Linked DNA regions of Alligator mississippiensis. The protein of the gene in region 2 interacts with the protein of the main gene of each other region in a biochemical or structural test. Links are inferred from orthologs where the notes say so. Each region holds a gene or a part of one and is shown on either strand. Other genes may lie near its edges.

Evidence for each region.
Region 1: the proteins of RBBP8 (region 2) and SIAH2 form a complex in vitro, tested with the Homo sapiens proteins (2 studies listed by BioGRID). The link is inferred for Alligator mississippiensis from reciprocal best matches to the Homo sapiens genes RBBP8 and SIAH2.
Region 3: the proteins of RBBP8 (region 2) and KLHL15 form a complex in vitro, tested with the Homo sapiens proteins (2 studies listed by BioGRID, with this or other methods). The link is inferred for Alligator mississippiensis from reciprocal best matches to the Homo sapiens genes RBBP8 and KLHL15.

Annotation. Positions count from the first base shown.
Region 1 is NC_081830.1:62,023,475-62,030,975, forward strand, and holds the start of SIAH2 (E3 ubiquitin-protein ligase SIAH2), read right to left. Parts: upstream 3,088-7,501; 5' UTR 2,889-3,087; coding exon 2,478-2,888; intron 1-2,477. UniProt on the Homo sapiens protein: E3 ubiquitin-protein ligase that mediates ubiquitination and subsequent proteasomal degradation of target proteins.
Region 2 is NC_081826.1:87,334,216-87,341,242, forward strand, and holds the start of RBBP8 (DNA endonuclease RBBP8), read right to left. Parts: upstream 3,020-7,027; 5' UTR 2,866-3,019; intron 2,413-2,865; 5' UTR 2,354-2,412; intron 1-2,353. UniProt on the Homo sapiens protein: Endonuclease that cooperates with the MRE11-RAD50-NBN (MRN) complex in DNA-end resection, the first step of double-strand break (DSB) repair through the homologous recombination (HR) pathway.
Region 3 is NC_081824.1:315,931,441-315,938,431, reverse strand, and holds the start of KLHL15 (kelch-like protein 15), read right to left. Parts: upstream 3,026-6,991; 5' UTR 2,859-3,025; intron 1-2,858. UniProt on the Homo sapiens protein: Substrate-specific adapter for CUL3 E3 ubiquitin-protein ligase complex.

The DNA.
Region 1 (7,501 bases), on a different chromosome or scaffold from region 2:
TTTTACAAAAATTCCGCAATAGTAACATCTGTTATACCTTTTGGATGGCTGAAAAATGCAACTGGTTGAAGTGTCACACACCTTGTTCTGCATCATTCCTTTCCTAGCTGATAAGATCCGGCTTAATGGCTAGCAGTCTTTTTTCCAAGTCACTCACAGGACCTCAGCCCTGAAAAATATTTTGTGCTCAAAAAGCAATTTTTTTTTTTTTATGCTATAAAATCTTAATGTTCTGCAGATACTCTGTCCAGACCCTGTCATCAGCGATTCCACCTTGGGTTCTACACCAAGCTGTGCACAGAGCTGAAATGTGACTTGGAGACGTATGGTTGACTTCCTGCTGATGCTGAAGGAAGGAATCCTATTTATGTACCTTGCTTCCCAGGTCCTTGCCTAAAAGAGCACCCAGGCCTTGGGGGTGAGGAGAACGAGGACAGAGTTGATACAGGAAATACGTTTTGTTTAGACTTGTTAGATTTTATTCCAAATTTAGGAAATGTCCTGTTTGTGGTGAACAAGCTTTAGAAAATGAGACGCAATTATAGGGGCATGCATGTACATGCACCCATGTGCATATTTATACACCGTAAAATGTCAAATCCTTGTTGGAACTACAGTGCCAAGTTATGTTAGAATAAAGCAATTAAAACAGATCCTTAAAACAAAGAACACTTTCAACTGTAATGCACGACAGGCAGATGTTACTGCTGGAGTTTTGTTGCTGGCTGTGGCAGTGTCATGTGACCTTACAACTTAAAGTACAAACATTGATATAGGTAGGGCATGAAAGCCACTATTCTGAAAATACAAAAAAGGCTGGAATTTCAAGGACAAGCCTCAGCCTGGAAAGTAACAGAACGAGCAAAAATGCTGCTAGCTGGAAAGCCTGGGACACGTGCACAAAGGCACAGATGGTGGAAATGAAGAGGGCAGTAGGGCCTCCTGTCACTTTTTCTGAGCCAGAAGGAAAATACGTTTTTCACTCAACTTTAGTCCAGCCTCTGGGGCAGGCTATCAAATCCTCCTCACAATGGCACAAAGTCTGTTGCTTTTGTTATGTGATCTCCTGTCCCAATCCTGAAAGTAGATACATAAGTGACATGTGTGCTAGTTCCCTGGGAATCTCACTTGACATGAAGCCCATGCTAGCACAGTAACTGTAGGACCTGGACTTGTCTGGAAAATCAAAGCTCTGATAGGTGTAGCTAGAATCTGTTGGATATGTCATGAATGCATATTTCACTAAAGAGATCTTTTAAATAGATCTTTACAATATGCTCTCTTACTGAAATAAAAAAAAAAAAAATCTCTTAAGAGTTTTATCTTTCCTTGAACTTAAGTTTAACCTTACTTTGTAAATATGCTTTGTGGTTTGCCATGGCAGGAGCAGGGATTAAACCTTTACTTTACAGGATACCATGAAATAAGGTCAGTTTAAGAAGCAAGTACCCCTCAAACTGCAGCTCTGTTACACTTCCTTTTTCAGTGCGTTTTTCTGGCCCCCTTTTTCCTGTGTGAAGAACCCACAGGAATTAGAAGGGGGGGGGAGTGAAACTGACTAGATGCACAGATGTAAGTAAACTAATCATGACACTTCTCTCTATATAATAATGTTAAATAGGCCAAAAGTGGTCAGTAAGAGTGCGATATTTTTAAAATCTTCACAACCTCTTTAGTGACCAAGCTAAAATACCAAGTTGGGTAAACCACAGCTCCTCCTTCACAGTTACTTAGAGAATGGAATTTGCCCTACAAAAACAAGGCCCAGCCCAAAAAACAATGCTGTAGAATAGGTCAGACCATGAAATGGGGCTCTACCCACTTATGCAATATCATTTTTAGAAATCCAGTGCTCGTGCAATGATTCAACAGTCAACTCCCTCTTAAATGCCTGAATTACAGAATTAGACATAATGTCAGCTTGTGACACAGCTGTGAAACAGGCTTAGGGCAAGACTGCTGTACTAAGCTGTGAACATGTCTGCAAAGAGGCAAAGCAGGGAGATCTTTTGAGACCTGCTCAAGGAGATGCACGTTCCTGCTTCTTCGGCCTGTTTCTTTTCCTGCTCCCTACCCCTTCTCCCCGGGGAGGAACTGTGCTCCCCGCAACAGGCCGCACTCTGCTGCCCAGGTGGGAGGGGGGAAGCACCCCACTGTGTTGTCCTTGGGACCCACTCGCTCCAGGAGAAATGAGGAGCTTCTTGGCTTCCGCGGACCGAGGGGGGCTGGTATTTGCACAGAAGCCACACACGCGCCTGGCCAAGGTCCAGGAGCCCCCGGTGACCCGGCTGGGACGGGGTGGAGGATGTTTCCGCTCACTACAGCCTGGAAAGGGGAAGTGAAACTCCTTGCTCGCGCCTCGGCAAGTCTGCAACCACGGCGAGGCCGGGCGGGGCGGGCAGGGCAGGGCAGGGCAAGGAGCCGGGGCCCCTTGGGGCGCGGTGCTGCAGCGGGAGGCGCGGGCCGGGCGCTCTTACCTTGCAAGGGAAGAGAACCGCCGAGGCCACTTTCTCCATGGCCAGGTTCCTGATGCTCGGGGTCAGGGACCCCCTGCACGTGGGGCAGCAGCTCAGTTTCTGTCGGCATTGGTTGCACACCAGGTGCCCCGCCTGGCACTGCAGGATGGGGGGCAGCACATAGTCGAAGCACACGGGGCACTCGAACAGCGAAGTCAGCTCGTGGTGCTGAGGCGACACCGGCCCCCCGCCGCCGCCGCCGCCTCCGGGCCCTGCAATCACCGCGGCCGCGGCGGGCACCGCAGACGAGCCGGGGCCGGCGGCCGAGATGGTGGCGGCGGCGGCGGGGGCAGCAGCCGGGGACGGCGCGTGCTGCTGCTGCTTGCCGCAGGCTTTGCTAGCGCTGGGTCCGGCGGAGGACGGGCGGCTCATCGCGGTCCGAGCAAACCATGGACGTGCGGGCAGCGGGCGCGCCACGCAGCGCCACCCCGGGTCGGGGGTCGGGCCCCGGGCGGCGCTCGGCCTCCCGCAGCACCGGCCCGGCGCGGGAGAGACGAGGGGGCCGCCGCGTCAGCGCCGCCTCCCCCGCGCCCGCGGCTCCCGCCGGCTACTGAGCATGCCCCGGCCAGGCCGCGCCGCGCGGGGAGCGGGGAGCGGGGGCGGCGCCGCGGGCGGGCGGCCGGGGCGGGGCGGGGCGGGCACTGACGTGCGCGGGGACCTCCCTGGCGCCGCCCCGGACCAACGTGGCCGGCGGGAGGCGGCGCCGGGCGTGCGGGCAGCAGTGCCTGGCCCCGGGTGCCTGGAGCCCTGCGCAGCCGCGCACCTCATCCGGGCGTCCGCCTCCCGCCCGCCCGCTCCACGGCCCGCCTCCCGCCCATTCAGGCCGGATGGGGCATCCAGCCAGGGCCCCGGCACGGACGCAGGATTTGCCCTCTTCCTTTGGCCCTGCCCGGCTCCCTCCCCCGTCCCGGGAGGCAGTGAGTGGAGATTGTTGACTTTATCTGATGCGTTTGTAGAGTTCGGGTGAAAGCACGAGAAAGTCAGTATTCTCTGGCTAGTTTGATTTTTTTTTTGGTCTAAACGTAAGGAGGAAGCTGGACTGCGCCTCGTTCTTCCCGATCGCCGTCGCTGTCAATTGTCTCTCCTTTCAAGGATGATCTCTACCGTGGCTCATTGATGGGTCTTGAGGTGACTTCAGTCCAGTCCTCGAGCCACAGATCGGTCCACAGAAGTTGCGGGTCTTTCTGCAGGGGAAGTAGGATGCCGGCTGGGATTTTGATCCTTTTCCTTCTTTCGGACTCTGTCCGACCAGCAAGCACACACGAACCATGGACACTAATATCACCCAGTCTGCATTTAAAGAAAACTGTAATGATATTGGTCAGCATTTGGTTTATACCGGGGTGCCAAACATAAGGCCCCAACGCTGGATTCAGCTTATGAGCCAATGAGCTCTGTTGCTGAACCAGCCCCATGTGCTCTGTGCTGCATAATATTCTTTCAAAGGAAGCCTTGTCTTTCATGACAGTGGGCCAAAAGGACCCTGTAGTGACTTCTGAGTGTGCTCAGACCTATAAACTACTATTTTCCTACAACTTCTGGTGAAGACCTACAAGCACTTAATAGCAGCGCTTAGAAAGATTAAATGCTCCTGATTTATTTTCAGAAATGGACTTTTGCTGATATTTCTAGATTGTGTCATGATTGCTATGTTCATCAGTTAAAGCCCTGATCTCATTATTTCAGCAGCTGCAAACACATGCTTACCGCTGTCTAATTTGACCAATGCAGCTACACTAATTTCAGGCCAGTCGTTGATGAAGTACAGCTTAGAGCAGTGGCTCTCAATCTTTTCAGGATCAGGGCTCCCCCTCCACCACTTCTATGAATTGGCAGCATCTCCTATTGAGAACTGTTGGTGCTTCCTCACTTCACTTCAGTGTTTCTTGACTTGACTGGGTATTGCTGCCTGTGATAAAACTGTCAGGCACCTGCTTATCAGCCAGCCCAGGAAGAGCTGTGGCATGTATACATATTCCTCATGCAGTAGGACTTTTGATCAGCCTAAAGCAGGCAGGAGCCACCTCATGCTGTGTAGCCCTTCCTGGTTCACCTGCCCCTTCCCCTGCTCCTGCCAGAAACGGGTACTTTAGTGGAACTGTCCTGTAAACCCCTGTCTCTTGGGGGAGTGTAGGAGGGGCCTGCCCAGGAAAGGCTAAGATGAGCTAGCTCCTGCCTACTTTAGGCTGATCAGAAAGCAGCAGGAGTGTGCACCAGGGTAGTCTTACCTGGCTGCAGCCACAGTGCAACACCCTGGATGAGAACCACTGGGTTAGAGAAAGAAGAGCCACCTTAAAATCTTCCCATTCTGCAGGCTTGTTGGTTGTGTAGTACATCAGCTGAGAACCAACAGGGCTTGTGCTCAATAGCTGTTGTTTCTGGCAGGTTGGGAAAAAAGTATTCAGTGCAGTATAGCAGAATGCAAATGGCTTCATAATGTCAGCTGTTATGAGCATTCAGAAGGGATGGAACATTCGAGGCCATTGGTAAAGGACATTGGCAGTGTGCATTGTTGTCGTTTTTATCTGTGTCTTTGGAGGCTTAAGTTGAACAGTTTGTAGGAACAAACTATTCAACAGCAGTGCGCAGCGGTAGATATTGCAAAAACTACCAGTATGTGTGAATGAAGAAGAATATGTTGGTTGAGGGAGCAACCCAGAGCAAGTAAGTATAGTTGTGTTGTAATCGTGGGCAAAGATAAACTTTGGGTCTAAACCCATGAGTTTGATACCCTTGCAGGACATGGGCCTGCATCTCCATATTGTTTCAAAGTTAGTTTCATAACATCTATATACAGGAAACCCTCGCTATTCGCGAACTTCACTATTCAAATATTCACGGGGGAGGGCAGAGCTGGGAGGCGGGCAGAGAACAAGCGCCAAGGGTTTGGAAGGAGGAGGTAGTGGTGGTGGTGGTAGCAGTGGCATGTTCTCTCCTGGAGTCAGCCGTGATGGCACTTGGGCGGAGAAGGGGTCGGTCTCCAGGTGCTGTGGGGGAGCCCCGGGGACAGGGAGGGAGGTGGCGATGGTGGCATCTTTTCTGCCACTGCTGCTGTGCAGAGCAGCCACGGCAGTGCTCGGGGGGAAGGGGTTGGTCCCCAGGCACTGCGGGGGAGCCCCGTGAACAATGTGGGGGGGAGCAGGGGGTGGCTGTGGGGTCCGACAGGGAGCCTCGTCAGTATTCATGGATTTCGCCATTTGCGGGGATCTCCAGAACATATCCCCAGCGAATGGCCAAGGTCTCCTGTAGAGTTGGCGATAAAAATTGCTGGGGTTGGTGGCTTGGGTTGGTTTCCCCCCCTTTCCTGTAGGGTTTGCACCACATGTGAAAACTGTGGTGGTGTGTTAGTGTATGAGACTGAGCAAGTGGAATTGATTAGGCTGCTTTCATTGTCCAAGCTAAGTGAAGTTTGAAAATCAAATTTAATGTGGTTGAAGGCTTTTCTGTCTTAACAGCATTACACAGGTGGAGAACCTTTGCTTTTGGAAGAAAAATCTCACAGCTTTTCTTTCAATGTTAACGAAATGCAGCAAAAAAGTAGGAAGATATTTCCTTGTAGTGGGGAAAGTGCCCTACTTGAGTATGCTTATTTATGTCAATTCGATGTTCATCAGGCATTGATGTCCTCATAGCCTTCCACATGCAGAGGTTAAAGATTGAATCATTTCGATTAAGGGTTGTGGAAAACCCCATGTCCAGCGTGACCCATCAGAACTACCAGTTAGTCATGAAGTATAACTGGAAAATTACCTTGCCAGCACAATGAAGGTGTTTTACTTAGACTAGTTTTCCATCAGTTGCTGCAACTAGACTCTAGAGGCTGTCTGTACTTGCTTCTGTATCAGATACATGCTGTTCAGTCTTTTCTCAGCACTTCAGTGCAATGATATAATTAGCAAGGTTCCTCTGGTATGTGCAGTTGCATGACTCATCCTTGATTCTAAGCACTAGCAAGATTCTTAATTAAGTTTCTATCTGGGCAGAACTTTCATTTAAGGGAAAGTGACAGTAATTTCAAGTGTTGGGAGTTCATTATTTTTCTGTCACATTTGCAGAGTCCTTTTGTGCCCTGTGAAGTCATGCAAAGTATTTATGGGTTAAAGGGAAAAACAGGAGGAAAAAATCATGAGTCATGCATTTCTAATGAAAATGTAGAATTTTACAACTATTTTTTAGCATATCAGTAACTAATTAAATCATGTACAGTTAATCATACCTAGTGATAAAAGCTTGTATTTTATACCACGTTTTGTAGCAATGTCCTAGGGTAAGGTCCATAAGAGGATTTTTTTTTAAGTTAATAGGTAGACAGAACCCAGAATATTAGTTGTGTACCTGACTGTGTCAATAAGAATCTTTTCCCTAAAGAGCCCTGTTCAATTTGAATGCACTGAAAGGAAAAGGAGTAGCTACCAAGGCAGAGCATACCTACTTGGCCCGCACTTGCAGGGAGGCAGTCAGACAGGCCAAACCAGAAATGGAACTTAGACTGGCAACAAAAATTAAAGACAGTAAAAAGTCTTTCTTCAAGTATATAGGGAGTAAAAAGAAGGCACAGGGTAGCATCGGACCCCTACAGGACAAACTAGGGCCATTAGTGCAGATGGGGACAAGGCTGAGCTCTTCAATGAGGTTTTTTTCTGTTGTATTCCTGAACATGGATCGGGACAAATCTCCCAATTGGATCATAGACAGGCACAAAAGGGAGACCAGCCCACCAACTGTTGGCGCTGACTGAGTGAAGGGACACTTGGAGGGGCTGGATGTTTTTAAGTCAGCAGGCCTGGATGAACTTCATCCAAGGGTGCTGAAGGAATTGGCTGGTGTCATAGCAGAGCCACTGGCATGGCTGTTTGAGCACTCAAGGTGCTCAGGTCAGGTCCCAAAGGACTAGAAAAGGGCTAATGTGGTCCCTGTTTTCAAGAAGGGGAGGAAGGAGAATCTGGGTAACTACAGATTGGTTAGTCTCACCTCTATCCTCAGGA
Region 2 (7,027 bases):
CCCTGGTAGGATAGGGTAGGCTGAGGCCAGCACTGGGCTGGCCCCAGCAGCCTTACTTAGGGTTCTGGTGGCCTCCAAGGGCTGCATCAGTGGTGATCCTGACGTGCAGAGCCTGGCCAGCAGCAGAATGCAGCTCTGGCTGGCCAGGCTCCACTTTGGCCAACCCACGCTGCCACCGCGTATCACTCCATGTCTTTTCTCTGCAGGTTTTTTTGATCCCTGGTGTCCAGGGGTCAAAAAATCCCTCCGTGCTGCTCCCTTGTGACACAGAGAACAACTGAACGTGTGGTATATAGCACTGCAGACATGTATGCAGCGCCACATACCACATTGCCACGTCCAGACTAGTGCAGCCATAGTTACCTCCAAAATAGTCTCTCTCACTCTGATCCTTTTCCATTTATCAGCCTGATACTATTTATCTATTTTTTCCTGTGAGCTTAATTTGAATAGTTAGCAAGTATGCTTGGTTCAAAGACTCTAAGCAGCAATGTGCCTGAGTTTTATTAATATAATCCAGAGAGGAATCCTAAGTGTATAAGTACTGTGTAGCTGTTCTAATGGCATAATGTGTTTATTTCAGCCATGGAAAATCATGAAAGTTTACCAGCCCAGAACTCATGTTGCTTTCTATGTGAATGATGAGAATTTTAGAGGAAAAACTGTCAAAGCCATATGTAATATATGGCATATCTGTCAAAAACAGACACTTCTGCCAAAACTAAACACAAAACCAGTTACTTTAGGAGCGTGGGCAACTATTAATTCACATGGCTCACTATTTAGTTGAAATTTAACAAATATGCTGTGTTCCAGGGCTCAAGACTTGGAAAACAAATTACTGTGGAACCATTTTATAGTTTAGAAGGCATCTTCTACCAGGTACAAAGTAGCTTTTGAATAAGAACAAATTAAGCACTTACATTTCTTGACAATGTCTTTTTTAATAGCAGGGCTTCAAGCAACCATTGATATACTACTAGAGTAAGAATGCAAATAATGGTACTATTTTACTGTACTGCTGTGGTGCGTTTCATCTAAGGATCTCAAAATTCTCTGGAGACATTAATTAATTAAGCCTTGCAACAACCCTGCAAAGTATTACCACCACAATTTTATAGCAAGGGAATTTATGCACCAAGAGATGGAGAGGCAGACCATGACTGTAATGAACGGAATGTCTAACTCATTCTCTTATCACTAGAACACAATGCTATTCAATTACCATTAACTAGAACACTGGATCAGAAATGTTTGATATACACAAATACACATATGCTACTACCAAAACAGATGCAGGAAATATTTTTATGAATTAAACTTATCACCTGACAAAATGTACATCAGATAACGAGCAGTTTAACTGGTTATTCATGTTCCCTATTTTGGGAAAATTACATATTCTTTAAAATATGCAACACTTCCTTTAATGATTTATAATTTTCATCAGCAATCAGAAATTTTAACCCCTAAAATTAAACTATTTCTTCTAAACAGTATTCTCAGCCTATACAGAAGAAACATCTTTTTCTTCTTGCTCTTTTTCCCACACTTTGAAGAAAATCTCTAGTTTTAACAAGCAGACTCAGTGCTACCAGTGAGAAGGTTATTTCAGCCTTCCATTCAGAGCTTTTAGGTGCTCAGGAAGCCTATTTACTGGTATTCTACTAAAGAGTTATAAACAAGATGTAAATTTTTACATCAACCTGTAAATGGCGTATAGTAAATACTTACCATGATAAGGGTTCTGTTACAAGATTATTATCCTGAGTCTCACATACTCCTATACATACCTTCATTTCCCTTAAGCAACACTAAAATACAATTCATCAGGCACAAAATTGTTCATTACATCACATCACACAGGTGAACTGTAATTATTTTATCTAAAGACACACTAAAATAAGCTTCCTGGGGACATGGAAGTGGTTAGAGGATGGTTTTCAAAAGTTTAGTTACACAGATGACAGGAAGATTCACATTTACTTCAGCTAAAGAATCATTTTGTCCTAACAGGCATGACAAAACCTGTCTTCATTCCTTTCTGTTCAGCTCAGCTAGTACTTCCTGAGTTCCAGTAGTTAATCAGTTACCAGATTCCAGAGCTTTTGTTTTCTATGCCATTTATTTTTCCTTATTTGACGCTGTACTTGTAAACGATCCAGAGCCCAAACCCTCACAAATTTCAGAGCTGTCAGGAGTAGGTTTATTATTTGGATTCATTTATATTTGTATTGCTACTCTGAATTACTTATTACACACAAAACATGTTTGTGAAGCCTTTATTTGGTAAGTAAGGGAAAGTTAATAATAGTTCTTTATTTTTAAGAAACAGTTTGCTTTCAACACTCACCACTAAGTCAGTTATGCATGTGCTAAACCAAATTTTGCCAAGTAAGTTATTCCATAAACCTGCAAAATTTAAAATAAAAGTGTTGGTCTAACAAGAAATAGATAATAGTATCAACATTTAGTACCTTATAACACTTTACCTTATCACAATACCCCTCTGAGATGGTTCTGTCTTAAGACAGTTAAGTGACTTGCCCAAGTTGATACACCGAGTCAATGGCAACACCCTAATTAGTATTCAGATATTCCTGTCTCCTACTACTGTACAATTAATTAGACAATTCTCTCCATTAAATGTTATTAGATAAAGATGGAATAGCTGATGTTTACCTACATACAGAAGTGTCAGAAGTTATACAAATGATGTCACTTAGAAACACAGAAGCTGGAGCTAATGGTATATAGTAAACAGATCCATACAAAAAACATTCACTACAAATTTAAGTGCAGTAACACTGAATTTCAGAGTTAGATTTTCTTAAATTACTTTAAAATTTTTTTTTTAAAACTCACCCTTTTGTTTTAATTGTGAAAGGTTCTGTTCTTGATCAGGGAAGGTGAATACTTACTGCTGACTTCCCCTCAAGCTATAAACCTAAAGCATAAGTGAGATGAGGAATTCACTGTGGACCACACTGAAGAATGCTGAGATGAGATCTGCTGCACCTAAGATATATACAATGTGCAATGGATAACCTAATATGCCTTTCATTTAACTGGCTGGGCAGGTTTCTACATTCTGTAGAACATGGAATCATACCAGAATTTGTTGGCATAACAGGCCTGCCAAACCGGTTTCTCAGTAGAACAGGAACCTGCCCAACCAGTCTGCATCAAAGGCCAGCCTAACATGCTGCAGCTCAACTCAGTTCAGCTAGGCTTCGTAGATGGTGAATTATTCACGCCTCCGTCAACTCCCAGCGCACCACTGATAGAATGATGTAGCCTCCAGCAAAATAATTTGCTGAGGGATGAGGGAGTGATATATCCATGTCAAATCCAGAAAGATCCTATTGTTGTAAACTCTTTCATTGCATTACGAAATGCATTGTTTTAGGAGATTTACTTTTCACTAGCATAAACAGGGAAGAAAACTATTTTAAAGCAATAACAACATAAGTTTATTGTAATTAAATAACACCACATATTTAGCACAACTGTCATGACAAAAACAAAACATTAACAAATTCTGCTCTCCTCTTAAGACCTCTCCCCATCCATAGATACTATCTTACCTATTGGAAACAAGTCTTCCCTTGCATATAGAGAAAGGATGCTGAGAGAGCTTGCACAGAAGGTTTGAAACTCATGTTCTCTGTAGGGCTGTATCTGCCCACATGTCATCTGGTTCTGTAAAAAGATTTTCCAGGGTTAGAGGCAGTGCAATGTGTGTGCAGTGCACCCACCCCTGTGCAGAACTACTTAGATGTCATCACCCTTCTGTGGTAGAGAGGACAAAGCTGCTGGGCATGCTACTATAGCACCCTGCAGTAGGAGCTACAGTGCAGCCCCTGGATAGTGTGGGGACAAGAATACTTACAGAACTGCTCTGAGCAAAGCCTATGTATTCTAGCTATATGCAGAGACCAGGATTTGCCTGGTATTACCTTCTTCCAAACAGGAACACAGACCAGAATTTATACAGTTTGTTACATGATTTTCAAAGGTGCTAAGTACCTCTGTCTTCTCCTGAAGCCAATGGTTGTAGATATTTAACACTCATAAAATTAGACTGTATTTACCTAAGGTGAGGTTTCTAGAGGCATAATTGGGGCTCATTTAACTTTTACTTAAGAGCCTCACTTTAGGACCAGTACTTAGGCTTGACAAAGGCATTGGTAAAGTTAGAAACATGTACATTTATTCATGATGTAACCTAATCATGGAATTTGTATATACTTCTTCAGATCCCTACTTGTTATTTATGAATTTTAATAGCTATTCAACCTCCAATGCTTAGAGCAGAGGAAATAAGCCTCACCTTTAACCAAGCTTATGCAATGCAACCACTTTTTCATCATAGCCCAGCATAGATCAAAGCAAGGAATGGAGATGTTTGCAAGAAACCTACTGAAGTATCTGTTGTCCTGTGTGAAGGTAAAGCTGAATGTGAGGCTATATTTTGTGAAGTATTTGGAAAGTAGGAGCTACCACTGGAGAAGGCAATGAGATTCCTAACTTTCAGCCAAGTTGACAGATGTTCGCTGTTTATGCTTGCAGTCATACCACCTAAGGCTATGATTTTATGCAGCTAAGCAGGGTTGGGTTTGGTCAGTACTTGGCTAAGAGTCTTAACAAGTAAAACTGCCGCAGGAAGTGGTTTTGGTGATTCAGTAGGCGGTACTGAGTAGTTATGAAGCAATGCAAGCATTAGACAGGGAGTACAGAGTGCTAAAGGTACCATATTTGTGATAAAATATGAAACAGAAGATGTGGAAACTTGGGATTTTTAATTATTTCCTAGCATTTTTCACATAAGATGTAGATTTTTAACAAGTATCCTTGTCAAATTTGAAATAAAATTTCTCTGGAAGTTTCAATTGGAGACAGTATTCTTCATTTTGTTTCCCAAAATGTTGTGCAGTGCTGCTGAGCAGTACTAAATGGCTGCTACATTCTTTCCAGAAATGGGTCTATTTTTAAAGTGGTTAATTCAATCCTCTTTATTGTATTTAAATTGTAAAGTGTATTATTTAGATTGTAAAGATATATAGACTCATTAGAAGTGTTGCACATATACTTGATTTCATACTGAATATGAAATATACTGAGGAAAAAATCATATGATTTATTTGATTTTGGTATTTCTAATGTTGGCAATATTATATCACCTAACAGACTGAGGTATATTTTTTAAAGTTCATCCACAGTTAGTGTTAATTTTAGAAATACCTTATCCTGTTAAGAGTTTGACTGTAATTAACTCCTAGAACTCATTGCCACAAGGTATTGTAATGGCTGATAATTTAATCAGTTCAAGAGGGAACTGGAAAAAATCAGAGGTCCATCAGTTGCTATTAGATATGTTAGTTTTGAGTCTAACCTCAAAATCAGGATTTCCTAAACATCTGAACCTGGAAGCCACAGAGGAGAGGGGCAGGGGATAGATCATCTGGATAGGTTTCACATAAATACTCTGGCAGACAAGGTTCTTTGGGTAAATTGGATGTCTTTTATTAAACATTATTTTTCTTTTTAAGCTTTTGAGCACAAACACCCTTCTTCAGGCTGAGAAAGCATCTGCAATTGGTCTGTGGTCTTCCTGGTTGGAATGAATAGTAAAGCAGCCAGGGGCTGGTATACATGCAAGAAAATCAGTCAGTGACTATGTAAGTTGAAGAGTCAATGGGTGAGAGAGAGGCTGGGGGTGGGGAGGGTGAATGTAGCTGGTAAATAGTGGAGAGGTACCCGGGGAGTCAGATGTTAGGCAGGTATATGTCATAAATCCAATGTCTATACTTAGTCCATGATTTTTTGATCCAGTAGGTTGATGAAGTGAAGTTTGTAGGCTCATCTGTGAAAGGTATTTTGTAAATTCCCTTTGAGGATTAGAACTGAGAGACTGGAGAGAGAGTGGTTTTTCTTGTGATAAATGTGCCCCCACAGGTAATTGGGTATTCTTGTCTTTGATAGATTACCAGTGTGTGTTCATTCTGGTACACAGTTGTTGTTTCGTCTCTCCTATGTATTTTCCATCAGGGCATTTGGTGCATTGGATGAGATATAGGAGGTACAGCTGTGAGATCCAGGAATGCTGAAGGTTCTGTTGTGGGGGTGGTGGAGATATATTGTCAGGTTTTAGATTTCTTGTCATGGCATGGCCTGGATCCATTCGGTGTGTTTTGGGCCTTGTTTGCCTATGCTCTTAGACCAACCTAGCTACAACCTATACCTCAACACATAAATACTCTTACCCTGAAGCATCTAGTCATGCCATGGTGAGAAAGAGACTACTGAATTAGATGGATCTGTGGTCTAACCCACTATGGCATTTCTTACATTCTTATGTTTTCTATATACATAATGTATGTTTTTGGATGATTAAGGACAAGAAATCTGTGTCATGTAGAAGTTTGGTTTCCAAAAAGAGAAGTGAAATAAAACTCTTTCTTTTCACTAAACTTCAGAAAGGACGTGGACAAGTTGGAGAGAGTCCAGTGGAGGGCAATGAAAATGGTTAGGGGGCTGGGTCACATGACTTGTCAGAAGAGCCTCAGGGAACTGGATTTATTTAATCTGCAGAAAAGAAGATTGGGGGCAGGGGGAGGAGAGAACTTGATAGCAGCCTTTAACTACCTGAAGGGTACTTACAAAGAGGACGAAGCTAGACTGTTCTCAGTGGCAGCAGATGACAGAACAAGGAACAATGGTTTCAAGTTGCAGCAAGGGAAGTTTAGACTGGATATTAGGGAAAACTTTCTCACTAGGAGGGTAGTAAAGCAGTGGAACAGGTTACCTAGAAAGATGGTGGAATCTTCATCCTTGGAGGTTTTTAAAGCCTAGCTTGACAAAGCTGTGGCTGGAATGGTCTAGTTGGGGATGGTCATGCTTTGAGCAGTGGATTGAACTAGATGACCCATTAAGGCCCTTTCCAACCCTAATTTTCTATGATTCTATGAATGACAAAACTGCTGAAGTGATATTTTCAGCATATTCTTTTAAAATAGAAATGAAT
Region 3 (6,991 bases), on a different chromosome or scaffold from region 2:
CCCCGGCAGCCAATCCTGCTGTCCAGTGGGGGAACTGATTTCACTCTCAATAAAAGTGGCCACGCCACTTCCGGAACTCCATCGGCCACTTCCAGAAGTGGCGCGGCTGCTTTTGCTGGCAGCCTCGCTCCCCACTCGATGCTCACAGAAGGGGCACTGGTGTTCCTGCCTCCCCCCCTGCTACACAGAGAGCATGGCCTGACAGGGGATGGACCAGTGCTCTCAGGGGATGCATGTGCACTCCCATGCACCCTCTACACATTGCCCCCGTCAGGCAAGAGAAAGCAGATTCTAAGAATCAGGGCAGCATCATTTTATATTATGACACACAGCAATTTACAATTTGCTGTGTGAATGGACCACTAAAACCATATGCAATAATTATCAAAAGAAGAGTTCTGACAAACATATGCTTGGCAGCCATTTTAACATATACTTCCAGAGGCAGGAAATGCAGATACGGAACCCGTTAGAATTTCCCATAACTCAAAACTGGATAAGATAGAGACAGATATAATTTCATTAACTAAAATAACAGGTTTTGGAGAGGTCTTACAACATTTCAATTTAATATCATTATGATTATGTCTTAGCTGCAATCAACATGCGACTACAGCTCACATAAACACATCCAAGCTAGCTTTAAACTAGAGATGTAAATGGTTAAACCAGGGGTTAGCAACATTTTTGACTGCAGTGCCAAAACAACCCAACTGGACCCAGGCCCCAACATGGCATGCCAGAGGCAGATGGCGCAAGGGGCCCTATCCTCATTGCTAGTGGTGGGCACATGCATGCCTCCAGACGGACTGCAGGGGAAGGGCTGGGATTGTGCTGCCCCAGGCCCTCCCCCACCATGCGCCCCAAGGTGCGTGTGCAGCTGACATCACCACAGAGCCGGTGCCAGGGCTCCGGACCCTGGTGCACCTGTTTGCAGCCTGCCTGCCTGCCACCTGCTGCAGCTACCTAGAGATAGGCTAGATGTGGCAGGCAGCAGGGAGCTCCAGCCAGGTTCTGTGGCAGCAACACCTGCACCTTCGCCTGGGAGCACACAGCTGGAAGAGGGCCTCACATAGTGCAACCCCCGCCATCTGCCCCAGGACATGTCTATAGATGCTGCCACCATGGAGCCCAGCCGGAGCCTAGTGCAACAGTTTGTATCCTCTGGGATGTTGGCTGCTGCCTGCCATGGAGTCTGGTGGTAGCTGCTCAAAGTCCAAGCCAGCTGTGGCATGAGAGCAAAATGGCCTTGCATGCCATGTTCTGGCACGTGCTGGGTTTGCCGACCCATGGGTTAAACATTTAACCATATTCGCAGGTTAGCATTTAGTGTGGAGTGGGGAGCAGTCCAGTGGAGAAAGTCGCAGGGTGACCCTGAAGGTGGCAGGGCAGGCAGGAGAGAGTACCCCTGGCTCTTTCTGCCATCCACCCCAAGGCACGCATACTCCTGCCACTGGTAAGGAGACAAATCAGGGCCCTGCAGACCCCCATGCAACCACTTGTAGCCTCCCAGCCTCCTACCACAGCCGGCATAGGCTCCAGCCAGGTCCCTGGAAAGGCTGGAAAAGCCCCTTGTCTGCTGCTGCCACCCAGTAAATATGGGAGCACAGGCGGGGCAGGTCCCCAGGAGATACCGGTTATGGGTTACCTGTTTAACTGATAACATTCCAGGAGTTTAAACACATACTTCATTAACCAGTATTTATATCCCTACTTTAAACTAGCTCAGATATTAAACCATTGGCAGCACGGGGTCAACACATTCTCTGGACCCTGCCCAGTAAATTGGGGAGATGCCTCAACAACGGAGGACAGGACAGACCTCTTTGGTGCCACAGCTGCTGGTACCAAGCTACTGATATAAAGATGGCTTTGTTGCATCTATCCAAGCGAGAGTCACACACCCCTGACTCCAGCAGAGCCATGGCAGCCGTTCTCAAACTTTAAACCAACGGACTGCGGTAATAATGCGATTTTTCCCTATTTCATGTGACATAGCTTCTATAGTACATACTAGAACAACCACCTTCCTTTAAAGATTTAGTTACAACACACAGCATCAGAGTATCCCATAATGCAGTGGTCCCTCAACCTTTTTTGTACCGGGACCACCTTGTAAACATCAATGGCCAGTCCCCAGCCAGTAAATAGTTTAAGTGTAATACAGCCCACTGGCCCTGCCGGCACCCCTCACTCCCAACCTGCCCAGGTTGTGGGGCAAGCGGTGCATGGGGGGGTGGCCCGCAAGCAGCCCCTTGCAGGCTGAAACTCTGCCAGCCTGCAAAGAAAACCCATGGCTCCCCACTTTTCCTCCTTTAAAGGAGAACCCATTTTTAACAAGTTTGTTCACAGCCCTTTCACATTCTTGCAACTCACTTTTGAGTCGTGACCCACAGGTTGAGAAACACTGGGGCAACCAATACAGTCATCAGGAGTAACTCAGGTGAATCAATAGACTAAGGGGGATGTTTTCAACACAAGCACGCATTTTCAAGGCAAATACTCCTGACCCATCAGTACCGCACCCTGGAAGAATGAAACGTCATCCAACCCTCCAGGAAAACGGGTTGCGGAGCGGCTGGTATCAAAGCGGAGTTGATCGGCTCACACTAACTGCGGGAAATTGAGCAGTACAGTCAAAAAACTACACAGCCCTGGGGGCCGCTCATGTCAGAACTCAAGAGCTTAAGACGGGCAGACTCCTCCCGTCCTCAGCCCCTTCCCCGGCCCCACCCGCAGTTAAGGCAGCCCCGAGCACGTGAGAAGCGGCGGCCCTCCCGGGCGACACGGGCCCGGCAGCTGCAGGGCGGGAGGCTGCGGCGCGGCTCGGGGCGGGGTAGGAGGGACGCGGCACCTACCCGTGGGCGGCGGCGCTGCGGCGCGGGCTGGCCCCGCGGGGCCCCGCTGGAACATACAGCCGGCGGGCGCGGGGGAAGCCGCCCTGCCCCTCCCCTCCTTTTCTCCCCCCCCCCACGCCGGGCCGCGCTCACGGCTGCCGGCCGCGTTCCCTGCCCAGCGCAGCCTCAGCCGCCATCTTCCGCCAGCCGCGCGCACCCGCTCCGCTCACGCGTCACTTCCGGCGCCCGCCCCCTCCCGCCTCACGCCGCAGACCCCCTTCCCCAGCAGCCGTCAGGGGCTCGCGCGACGCCCCGCCCCTCCGGGGCCGCGTGGATCCTGCCTGTCAGTGGGTCTGCGCTGAACACCCGCAGCCCAGGCCTGGTCTGCGAACAGTCTGGCAGCTGCCCGGGGGCCGGGGACCTGCCTGCGTGGGGGGAGCAGCTGAACCCCCAGACTGACGGGCTTACTCCGTTGTGCAACCTTATGAGCTTCACTCGAGCTTTGCTCGGCTGAGTTTTGGAACTGATCTGGTTCTTGCGGGAATATATAGATAAATAGATATATATGGAGAGAGGGAGATCTCCCTATATATAGAGATATAGCTATATAGAGAGAGAGAAATGGAAGATGGATAGATATAGATATCCCCCAAGCAATATATATATAAATCTTTATAAACTTTTGAACTTTGTGCACCCGAGTTTTGGAACTGATCTGGTCTTTTGAAATAGACATACACATGCACGCGCATTTGTATATCACACGGACATTCATATATAGGTGTGAGCAGAGTTTATAAGCACGTGTGTGTGTGTGTGTGTGTGTGTGTGTGTGTATATATATATGTGAATCTGTGTTAAAAATTCAGCTGAACAAAGTTCAGGAGTTTATAGATATGAATGAGTGTGCTTATATATTTCAAATGCCAAGTCAGTACCAAAAGGCAGCTGGGCAAAGCTTGAGTTTATAAGCAGATATCTCTATATATATCGATATCTTTCCATCTATATATCTCTCTATATATAATACAGATATATATGAATACAGTGATTTATATCTATATATAGGTATATAGCTAGATAGCTATAGGCTATCCACCTATACACACACAGAGATATATAGGAGTACAATGATTGATATGTATCAATCAGTATTCATATATATCTATATGTGTATATATAGGTGGTTAGCCAATAGGTATATAGAGATATATATCTATATATATATATAGATATATATACATGTAGTGATTGATATATATATAGCTGCTTATTTTAACCCATCCTGGATGGTGCCCCCAGATGTAAGCAGTGGCAGTGCATAGTCCCATCAATTTACATGAGCAACCTCAGCATTCCCAAATGCAGGTCACCAACAACAAAGGAGGTATGTCTAATAAGGATATTGCTATACTGAAATATACACTGTATTCATCCTTAGCGTAAAAAAAAACAGTCTGTGTGCCCTTCCAGAAATTTGATAAAACTTGACAGATACTAAATCGCTTCTAAATCTATACCAGGATTTGACAAAAACATAACATAAGTCTGCAGAGTTTCATGCTACACTCACTTCATTGATTGAACTATACAGCTGAATAGATTTAGGAGGCTTCTTTAACCATTTAGAATGGAGTTCTGCCCTACCTTCAATGTTTTTGTATGGCAACCATACTAAAGTATTACATCATATTCCCATTATCCTCAGTGTGTCCCAATAACAGGTTTTCATTGTGGATTTCCCAGTGGTAAGATAATTTATAGAATATAATGTCTACAACAGATTGATTAAAAGTTAGGTATTAGGAAATATTTTTCATGTCCATGTGCAAAATTAACATAATGCAGGATCATTTACATCTTATTTATAGCATTATCTTTTCTTATAACATATGATTGTCCTTTTTACATTTGAATATGTTTCTTTAAAAACAGAGTATCAGGAATATCCATCCCTATGTGTAAAAAAAAAATCCAACACTTGCTTTGGGAAAGGGGAGTGGCCATTAGTGTTTATGAGACTAGGTGACTATGAGCACTGATAAGACAGGTATCACACATCAGTTTTGGAATAACTTCTATCATCAGGTCTCCATTGTAGGGACTGACTGTGTATTCCCTACCTATAGGTAACCCTTCTAATCCATGCAGTTCAGGGCCCTGCAGGTTATAATTCATAAGAGGAAAACTAATTAGCTCAATATCTTTGCTATAATCCTGTTTGTTAATAAAGAAGGCTCAAAACCCTGTTTCCATGACCACAGGAAGAATCTTTGCTCATTTCTCCAAGCCATTTTCACCCAACACTCAGCCCATAACTCCTCTCTAGACTTTCCTCTCAGGCCTGTCTGGCATTCTGCTCCTTCTGTGCATTTGTCTGAGATGTTTCTACTACTCCCCTTTCTTGTATGCGTTTTTCGAAAAGCAGTACCAAGCTGTGCCCCTCTCCTAAGTCATTTAGTAGACGCACATGTAACTTTGTTTTGCAGTGACACACGTTGACAGTACCAGCTACTATTGTTTCATAAAGGAGCTTAGCCAACCACAATTCAATTAATCTTATATGAAGGACTGCAGTTAAATCCATCAGCTTAATGTTTTGCCTGTCTCATAACACTACCTATATCTCCTCTATTTATTTCAATTGGAATTTCACACACAAGCCTGTACCTGAAAACACATGTATGTACATGAGTGTCCCCTTTTATTTCAATGGGATTGTACAAATGCATAAAATTGCAAAGGTTTAGGTTGTAGCCGTGTAACAATGCCAGGGTCTTAACTGTACAGCAGTTAATCTGGCCTGGAGGCTTAACAGTGCCATAGGGTCTGCCTGCATAGATCTGCTTGAGCTTTCAAGACTTCTGTTGATGAACAGCAGCTGCCACAAAGCCACCATGTGCCACTGCAGATCTGAGTGTCTCCAATACAGCAGCTGTGCCACCAGCGTGCACCCTGGGAAGGCACTTGCAGCTGAATGGGACTGTGGCAGCCAGCTGAATATACAAGAGTGTCTTCTCCTGCTTTCAGCCAGGTGCTGGGCAGTGACAGGTGCTTGGCCCAGTCATTCCATCCAGGAAGAGCATGCAGCAACTGCTGCAGCATCCTTAGCCTGACGAAGGGTTTTTGAACCCGAAAGCTTGCTTAATAACTATTCTCCAACCATTTGGGTTGGTCTAATAAAAGATATCAAATTCACCCAAGAAACCTTGTCTGCCTAAAACTGCAAATGTTGTAGTAAGCAAGGAGATAAAGAACATTTGCAGGATCGCATTTTTTGGACTACAAAAAACCCACTCAGATTGTAAGTGAAACCTTCCCTGGATTTCCTCAGTATGGAGCGTAAGATCAGGATTCTAGGTTAAATAAAGCAGCAGAGGTGCTAAGTGGTGTAGCAGAAGATTTTCACTTTCCAGTCTCATATCTTAGGCCTAATCCATACTACAAATGTCGCTTGAAGGTCTACAGCTCTGTGTGAGAAACCCTTAAGGACATGCACTCTCATAGCCTCTCTGCAGTGCCAGGACCCTCCACTCTCCTGGCAAAATAAGTCCACCTGTGCCAAGCAGGGCCAAACACCTGTCACTGCCCAGCACGTGGCTGAAAGCAGGAGAAGACACTCATGTATATTCAGCTGGCTGCCACAGTCCCATTCAGCTGCAAGTGCCTTCCCAGGGTGCACGCTGGTGGCACAGCTGCTGTATTGGAGACACTCAGATCTGCAGTGGCACATGGTGGCTTTGTGGCAGCTGCTGTTCATCAACAGAAGTCTTGAAAGCTCAAGCAGATCTATGCAGGCAGACCCTATGGTACTGTTAAGCCTCCAGGCCAGATTAACTGCTGTACAGTTAAGACCCTGGCATTGTTTTCTGGCATCTCTTAATTGGGGTTACCAGCTCCTAAAAGTATTACCAGTATTACCTGCTCCTTGTTCTGGGCTGGAACCAGAAGGTAAGTGGCCGTAATGGGTGGGAGCAGGGAAGGCAGTGGTAGGGGACAGAGGCAGCAGGGGAGGGAAAGGTGGGCAGTGGCTGCAGCTGTGACTCTGACCCCAGGTTCTGGTGGGAGTTGGAGCTGCAGTAGCTGCATCTGCATTCTCCCTGCCCCTGATGATATGAGTATGTAAAACAAGCTGTTTATATCTGGGAGGTAAT